Linked DNA regions of Macaca mulatta. Each later gene encodes a partner of the first gene's protein in a complex. Links are inferred from orthologs where the notes say so. Each region holds a gene or a part of one and is shown on either strand. Other genes may lie near its edges.

The links. The genes of interacting proteins can lie anywhere in the genome.
Region 2: PHF20 (region 1) and KANSL2 share a complex: the UniProt entries of both Homo sapiens proteins name them as parts of the NSL complex. The link is inferred for Macaca mulatta from reciprocal best matches to the Homo sapiens genes PHF20 and KANSL2.

Annotation. Positions count from the first base shown.
Region 1 is NC_133415.1:88,598,490-88,602,499, forward strand, and holds the start of PHF20 (PHD finger protein 20), read left to right. Parts: upstream 1-1,179; 5' UTR 1,180-1,244; intron 1,245-4,010. UniProt on the Homo sapiens protein: Methyllysine-binding protein, component of the MOF histone acetyltransferase protein complex.
Region 2 is NC_133416.1:55,839,341-55,843,586, forward strand, and holds the start of KANSL2 (KAT8 regulatory NSL complex subunit 2), read right to left. Parts: upstream 2,812-4,246; 5' UTR 2,806-2,811; coding exon 2,345-2,805; intron 780-2,344; coding exon 601-779; intron 106-600; coding exon 1-105. UniProt on the Homo sapiens protein: Non-catalytic component of the NSL histone acetyltransferase complex, a multiprotein complex that mediates histone H4 acetylation at 'Lys-5'- and 'Lys-8' (H4K5ac and H4K8ac) at transcription start sites and promotes transcription initiation.

The DNA.
Region 1 (4,010 bases):
TCAAGACCAGCCTGGGCAACATGGTGATACTGCATCTCTACAAAAAAATGCAAAAATTAGCCAGGCTTGGTGGTGCACACCTGTGGTCCCAGCTATCAGGGAGACTGAGGTGGGAGAATTGCTTGGGCCTAGGAGGTGGAGGTTATGATGAGCCAAGACTGAGCCACTGCACTCCAGCCTGGGTGACACACTGAGACCGTGTCTAAAAAAAAAAAAAATTCGCCAGGCATGGTGGCATGGGCCGGCAGTCCCAGCTACTCAGAAGGTTGAGCTGGGGCCACAAGTGCGCACGTTCACGCCTGGCTAATTGTTGTATTTCTTGGAGAGAGGTGGGGGGGGGTCTGGCTATGTTGCTCAGGCTGGACTTGAACTCGTGAGCTCAAGTGATCTACCCATCTCAGCCTCTCAAAGTGTTGGAATTACAGGCGTGAGCCACTGCTCCTGGCCTCATATTCTTTCGGGATGGCTTCAACTCCGACCTTCGTCCCCAGGCAAAATATAGCTCCTTATCCTTAGCAGCAATTGGAAACCTTTCTAGGTGTTAATGATAAAGTGGGGGAGAAAAAGAGTGCAAAGGCTCTGAGGTGAGAAGAACCTGGATTGTTGGCGGAGTTGAAGGACGCTGAGAATGTGGGGGAGCTGGATGTGTGAGGACAAGAAAGCGGCAGGTCAGGTCCAGACTTTGAAGAGCCTGGTAGATACTCTAGGTGAAGAGTTAGATCTTAATTAGGAGTAGGGAGGGAAACGGGCTTTGAGCAGGGGATGGCGTTTTGAAAAGACCTCTCTGCCTGTGTACGAAGAATGGATTAGAACGGCAAAGAGTAATAGGGTGGAGACCACCGTCATCTTGGAGAGATGGTGGTCGCTTCGATGGAGAAGTGGGAAGCTTTGAGACACATGTAGGTGGCAAAATTAACGGGTGATGGATAGCGTCCATTCCCCGGCTTCCGAGATCTCAGTGATTACGAGTGAGTAGGGGCTTCGTGTTTCTGATAGGGCGCGGACCTGTTTCCCGCGCGTCAGGGCAGTGGGCGTGGCCTGCGCAGGCGGTTGCCACGGTGATCGGGCGGACAGGGCAGGGGGCGGGGCCGCTGGGACCTTACGTCACTCGGTGGTGGCGATGATGCGTCTGTGTGGGGGGCGGGGGATACGCTGGGCGCGTCCCGGGGGTCACGTGGTGTAGAGCACGCAGAGTCCTTCTGTCGGTTGGTCCTGGAGCGGCGCAGCCGGAGTGGGGCCGTGAGGTGAGCTCGCGGCGAGGCTCGGCGAGGCGAAGCCGGCTGGCCGGGGCCGGGTCGGGCCGGGCCCGCGCTGCGCGCGCGCCGTGCGGACGGGGACGGCGACGGACGCCACGGCTGCTCCGGTCCCCTGCCCGGCCCCGCTCCCCGCCTGGCCCCGCTCGCCCAGCCTGGAGGGAGGCCCTGGGACTGCTGCTGAGAGCGTGGCGGGCGTGCGAGCGGTGCCCAATCCCCGGGGCTACCCTCAAGAGTGACGGCGGCTGCCGCCAATCAGCGCCGCCCGAGGGGGCTGGGCCGTGGGGTGCGGGCCCGGGGCGCGGAGCGGGCCGTGTTGGGGGTGCGGGTGAGCGCTAGGGACCGAGCCTGAGCTGTGTGGGCCCCTAGAGCCTCATCAGCAGCCTCTGCTGTTGCCCTGTGCTTTGGGGATACGTTTTTTTAAAATTGGCTTTTTTATGCTATTCCGGGGAGCACATTCCTTTCTCAAGACCCCAAATATGGGAGTGTCCCTTTTCTCTATAGTTTTGAAAACTGGGCGGCACACCCCCTTTCTTAAGCTCTAGCTCTGGAATTTTATCTAAATTTCTAAAGCCCCCCGCGAATTGAAGGTGTGCCCTCTAACCTCAGCCCCCAAAGTGGAAGCACACTCCTTTTTTCGGGCCTCCAATCTGATTCTGCGTTTCCGTTCCAATTTAGAGGTTCACCCTGTTATCGGGTCTTCAGATCTGGGGTCCATTAGCCAAAGTTTTGGGATACTTTCTTGTATCCCCACCACTCCAAAGAAGAATCCCCCTTTTCCAGGTCCCAAATCTGACAGCATGCCTTCAGGAATTTCTTACATTTAGGGGCCACTTCCTTTCCTCAGCCCTTCAAATCTGAGGTTGGGCCGAAAACGATGTCCAAATTCTGAAGTTTATGAGTACTTATTTCCAGTTTCACAAATAAGGGAATTCACTGCCTTCTCCCGAGACTGTATTCTTGGGGTTACACACTTTTCACGTGTTCCCCAAATCAAACTACCTTATTTCCTGAGGGAGACTCATTTTCATATCTGGGAGTATATTTATTTCTTGTGCCCCTCAAATGTACGAGGTGAACCCCTTTTAGTTCTACAACTCTCAGAGTGCAGCCACTTTCCAGATGCTTCTTAAATTTGGGGGGCACACCTTTTTCTGAGTCCTCTCATTTCCAGGTGGCGAATGGTCTGTGGTTTTGAGCATGGCTTCCTACCCTTTTTAGCTTTTCTGTCATCCAAGACATTTTCATTCCTCAGTTTCCTTCCATTTTTGGAGCCACATTCCCCTTGAGGTGCTCTCCCAGTCTGGTCAGCGTACCCATTTCCTCTTCCCTCCTCTGGCGAGTGCGTATCTTTGTTCAGCACGGCACTTTTCTCTCTGCTCCTGCGGCCTTTTTTTCAGAGCACACTTTCCAGAGTCACGCCTCCTGAATTCTCCTCTCCCTCCAGGGAAGGATTCCTCTCCTAAAGGGCTACCTGCACATTGTTTTTCATAGGCCTGTCTTTTATCTTTCCGCTAACCGGATCTCTTCTCTTTTGGCTTGCCCAATCCCCAAACATTTTTCTGGTTTCTGTCTTTCTCCGGAACTGTTCTGTTTATGTAGTGGCTATACAGATTTTCCTTGTGCTGGAGGTGGCCTCAAGTCTAGGAGTGCCTCAGCCCCCAGGGCTGGATTCAAAGTGGAAACCATTTCTTTGGTTAATCACAGGACTCTGAATCCTCCTGGTGGTTTACTTCATAGAAGACCTAAGATTCTGTTTGGGTGCATACTGTTTTCTCCTTTGCTTTTATCTCCTTGTGCTGGAAAACAAAAACAAACAAAACTCTCAGATTTCTCCAGCACTGCTTCTAACCTATAAGCTTCTTCCGTACATTGGCCTTATTACTATCTTTTATGAAGAAAATATGTCATTTGGAGGAATTCCTTGGATACTCTTTTTGTTCTTGTCCCTAGGGTGTCGGTGGGGAAATTGATATTTTTCTCTCCCAGTCATCCTCTTGTCAGTCTTCACCCCCAATCCTGACTTTAAAATCTGCAAATATCTGGGACCTCCTGTCTCTTAAGAGCCTCAATAGTTCTTTCTTTTGTGTTTCCCTCTGCCTTTACAGATCTTATTCAGGGCTTCTCAGCCTGAACCCCCAACCAGATTAATTTCTCCACAGCTGGAATTCCAAGTGCTTGGGGATAATGATACCTCTGACCTTTCTTCCTTTTGGGAAGTACTTGAGTGTGCAACTGCATGAGGCCTCAGCAGGAGAGAGATTTTTAGGTCCAAGAAGCTATACCAGTAGGACAAGGCAGGAAAATACTACACTTTCAGGATCAAGCCCCTCTGACTCTCATTTGGAAACTGGATGTTTGCTAAGCACGTGCTTCTTTTTTTTTTTTTTTTTTTTGAGACGGAGTCTGGCTCTGTCACCCAGGCTGGAGTGCAGTGGCGCGATCTCGGCTCACTGCAAGCTCCGCCTCCCGGGTTTACGCCATTCTCCTGCCTCAGCCTCCCGAGTAGCTGGGACTACAGGCGCCCGCCACCTTGCCCGGCTAGTTTTTTGTATTTTTTAGTAGAGACGGGGTTTCACCGTGTTAGCCAGGATGGTCTCGATCTCCTGACCTCGTGATCCGCCCGTCTCGGCCTCCCAAAGTGCTGGGATTACAGGCTTGAGCCACCGCGCCCGGCCAGCACCTGCTTCTTAAGGATGCCGAGGGATTTAATCATATTCCCAGAAACCTGGAGAGATTAATGGGGCCTATGGAGAA
Region 2 (4,246 bases), on another chromosome or scaffold:
CTTCTTGATCACTGTCTATGCTATCAGCTTCACTGTCAGGGTCACCTCTCCATGTCTGATCCACAGTAATGGGTTCCTGCTCCCCATCACTCCAGCTGTCTTCATCTGAGGCAAGGAAGGGAGAGCAGCCATTAAGACTTCCCACCTCTGTAACTCCACCACACAAAACTAGATTACTTATCAACCCAAACCTTGAAATTAAAAAAAAAAAAAAAAAAAACTTTGTACAAAGGCACTGGGAAATAAAAACGCTTTAACAAAATACAACCCAGTATGATTACTTACAACACAAATGAGTACACCATGCCCTCTTAAACAGAAAAATCAACTTAAAATTATTGTTTCCTGAAATTACGTAACAAAGCTGCTGAGCATTAAAAAAGCAATGAAAGAAATGGTCACCAACTCAGGAGAGTAAACCTAGGCAAACACTACTTCAAATTCAAAAGAATTGGTAAACAACAAAGCAATCCCGGAATTCTCAACAAATTCCTGATGAATTAACAATATTGCCAAATAGTTCAAGGCATTGTGCTAACCCAAAACAGTTCCCCCTTAACTTTCTTCCTCCTTTTTCATTCCAGGAGAGAAGATCCTTACCTAGTATTCGGCTGGCTTCACTGCGACTACTTTCTGGAGTCTGAGACCCCAGCTCTGTCTTAGCATATGAGCTGAGCTGGCACAGGAGTGTTTCACCCATAGGCCCTGGGTTGGTCTTCTTCATTTGAGCATGAAGTGCCAGGGCATTCCTACGGACATGTTCAGCACAGAAGGACACCCTAAAGAGACAAAACATTAATATTTTATAAGTCCCTTCTTGAAAGCATTCAATAATTTTCATAGTCCCTAATCTTTAAATCATTTTCAGGGAATTAAAATGATTATTACATTCATTTCTAAAAATGCAAGTCAGAGGAATTTAACTGGCCCAAGGTCAACTCATTGACTTTTTATTAAAGGAAAGTAACAGGCCGGATGAAGCGGTTCACCCCTGTAATCCCAGCACTTTAGGAGGCTGAGGCAAGGGATTGGGTCTTGCTCTGTTGCCCAGACTAAAGTGCAGTCATGCAATCATAGCTCACTGTAGCCTTAAACTGCTTGGTTCAAGTGATCCTCCTGCCTCAGCTTCAAAATAGCTAGAACTATAGGCATGCACCACTGTACCGGCAAATTTTTTTTAGTTTTTTGTAGAAACAAAGTCTATGTTGCCAAGTCTGGTCTGGAACTCCCAGGCTCAAGTGATCCTCCCATCTCTTGATACACCCAAGAAGCTGGGACTACATGCCCAAGACATTATGCCCAGCGAATTTTTTAATCTTTTGTAGAGACGTGGTCTCACTATATTGCTCGGGTTGGTCTCCAACTCCTGGCCTCAAGTGATCCTCCTGCTGTGGCCTCCCAAAGTACTGGGACTACAGGCATGAGCCACTGCGACCAGCCAGGGACACAATTTTAAAACTACAAGATATGTACAAAATTATCTAGTCAGGTTATGTTTTTGCATAGATACCTTTGCATACATGATGAAAACTATGAACCCTCTTACAGAAGAATTCACACATATACAACTTTGCATGTTATTTAACAAAATTCATGGACAGCCAAATAGAGCCACACATCCCTCCATTAAGAATAATTTTAGGGGCTGGGTGCCCTGGCTCACGCCAGTAATCCCAACACTCTGGAGGGCCGAAGCGGATGGATCACCTGAGGTCAGGAGTTCAAAATCAGCCTGGCCAACATGGTGAAAACCCGTCTCTACTAAAAAGTACAAAAATTAGCCAGGCGTGGTGGCGCACGCCTTAAGTCCCAGCTACTTGGGAGGCAGGAGAATCGCTTGAACCTGGGAGGCGGAGGTTGCAGTGAGCCGAGATCACCACCGCACTCCAGCCTGGGGAATAAAGGGAGACTCTGTCTCAAAAAAAAAAAAAAAAAAAAAAGAAAGAAAAAAAGATTAATTTTAGGGTCGGGCACGGTGGTTCACGCCTGTAATCCCAGCACTCTGGGAGACCGAGATGGGAGGACACCTTGAGGCCAGGAGTTTGAGACCAGCCTGGTTAAAACAGCAAGACTCCATCTCTCTTAAAAAAAAAAAAAAAAAAAGTAATTTAGAATATGCCTTTATTTTACTACAGATAAGGGAAAAGAACCAAAGAGGTGAACTAAGTAATCCAATTCAAGGGTCCTTCCAGTCTTCACCGTTTTTTCAATTTTCCAAGGATACAACCATAACCCCAAATTTACAAGGACGTGATCTCAAACGCGGCAGCTATGCTGAAGCCCACATCATATCACACACCCCCTCGCTTTAAGACAAACGACATATATATCTATACATACATACCCATCTTTCTTCTCTGGCTTTGGGGCAGCACTGGGACATCTTTTTCCATTCTTCGTCGATATATAACTACACTGCTTGAAGGGTGCATTCTTGTCTTCAAGGATATGCTTAATGCAAAACTCCTGCCCCTCCAGACGAGGCTGAGAGCATGGACGATGAGTGAATGCACAAGACAGAGGTTCCTGAGACCTGGGCACTGGAGTGATCCTCCCCCGATTGGTTGGCAGGACGTGAATCCGAATCCTGTTCATAACCAAAACCTGCGGGGTCAAAATAAAAATCAGAAAGCCTTTACCCTTCCCGAAAATTCCTGCTCCACCGTATCTGGACAGATGCCGCGGGCAGTTTCCAAAAGAGAGGCAGAAGTCGGCCCCGTAAGGTACGCTCCCTAACTGCCCGCCGCCCTCCCCAGGTCTCCACAGGCATTTGTGGCTTTCCCTCTCTTTAGCTTGTCCCTCCATGCCCGGCCCCACCCCGAACCCCACCACGCTGAATGTATCTTCAGGACTCGCACAGCTGCAGCATGAAGGGAAGCGACAACGCCAGGCCCACGCGACGGCCACGCTGCCTCCCTGCACACCGCCTTTGTCCCGGCCTGCCTCAGAGCACACGACTGGGCCCGGCCTCGGAAGTCCATGCGAGCGCCATTTTGTCCTACTCCGGTCACCAGAGATCCTGGCTCCTTGAAGCCTGTAGGAAGAAGACTGACTCTGACACTGCTTTGAGGCGAAACAGCAGCTCTGAGTTGACAAAAAAGGCGAAATAGCAGCCCAACTGCAAGAGCTTAGAGCAAGGAACGCCGCCATCTTACCTCAGGCGCTGCGCCGCGCTCCGCCGCGCTCTGCCGCGCCGCTAGCCCTACTCTGGTGGCGGCCGCGGCTCCTAGATTGGCCTCGCTCCTTTCCGGACTCCTGGCTACTGATTGGCTACCGCGCCTATGACGGGGTGTTGCCATTGGCCGAGGCCCACTACCTATCGTGTCTGGAAGGGCGGAGCGCTGAGAAAATGCGCGGTTGGGGTGGCTATGACTGTCAGCAACTCCGCCCCGAGGAGAGTGAGCTGGGGAAGGGGGCGGAGAGCGGGCTGTGGGGCGGGTTGCCAGCTAGTCATATTTTTCCAACTTGCAGCGTGGCTCGTTTTCCGGCTACTTTTGAACCCTCAGTCTGTGGTCCTAGGCTGCTGTTCCCTCACCACTGTACACAGCTAGCATAAAATCAGACAAGCCGGGCGCGGTGGCTCACGCCTGTAATCCCAGCACTTTGGGAGGCTGAGGCGGGCGGATCACCGGAGGTCGGGAGCTCGAGACCAGCCTGACCAACATGGAGAAACCCCGTCTCTACTAAAACTACGAAATTAGCAGGGCGTGGTGGTGCATGCCTGTAATCCCAGCTACTCGGGAGGCTGAGGCAGGAGAATCGCTTGAATCCGGGAGGCGGAGATTGCGGTGAGCCGAGATCGCGCCATTGCACTCCAGCGTGGGCAACAAGAGCGAAACTCCGTCTCGAAAAAAATAAAATTTTTTTTTTTAAATCAGACATAGACAGAGGCTGGAGGATCACTGTTTTTGTTTTTTGTTTTTTGTTTTGTTTTTGAGATGGAGTTTCACTCTTTTTGCCCAGGCTGGAGTGCAATGGCACAATCTCGGCTCACTGCAACCTCCGCCTCCCAGGTTCAAGCGATTCTCCTGCCTCAGCCTCCCTAGTGGCTGGGATTATAGGCATGTGCCACCACGTCCGGCTAATTTTGTATTTTTTAGTAGAGACGGGGTTTCTCCATGTTGGTCAGGCTGGTCTCGAACTCCCGACCTCAGGTGATCCGCCCGCCTCGGCCTCCCAAAGTGCTGGAATTACAGGCGTGAGCCACCGCGCCCGGCCAGGATCACTGTTTGCATATAAAACGTCT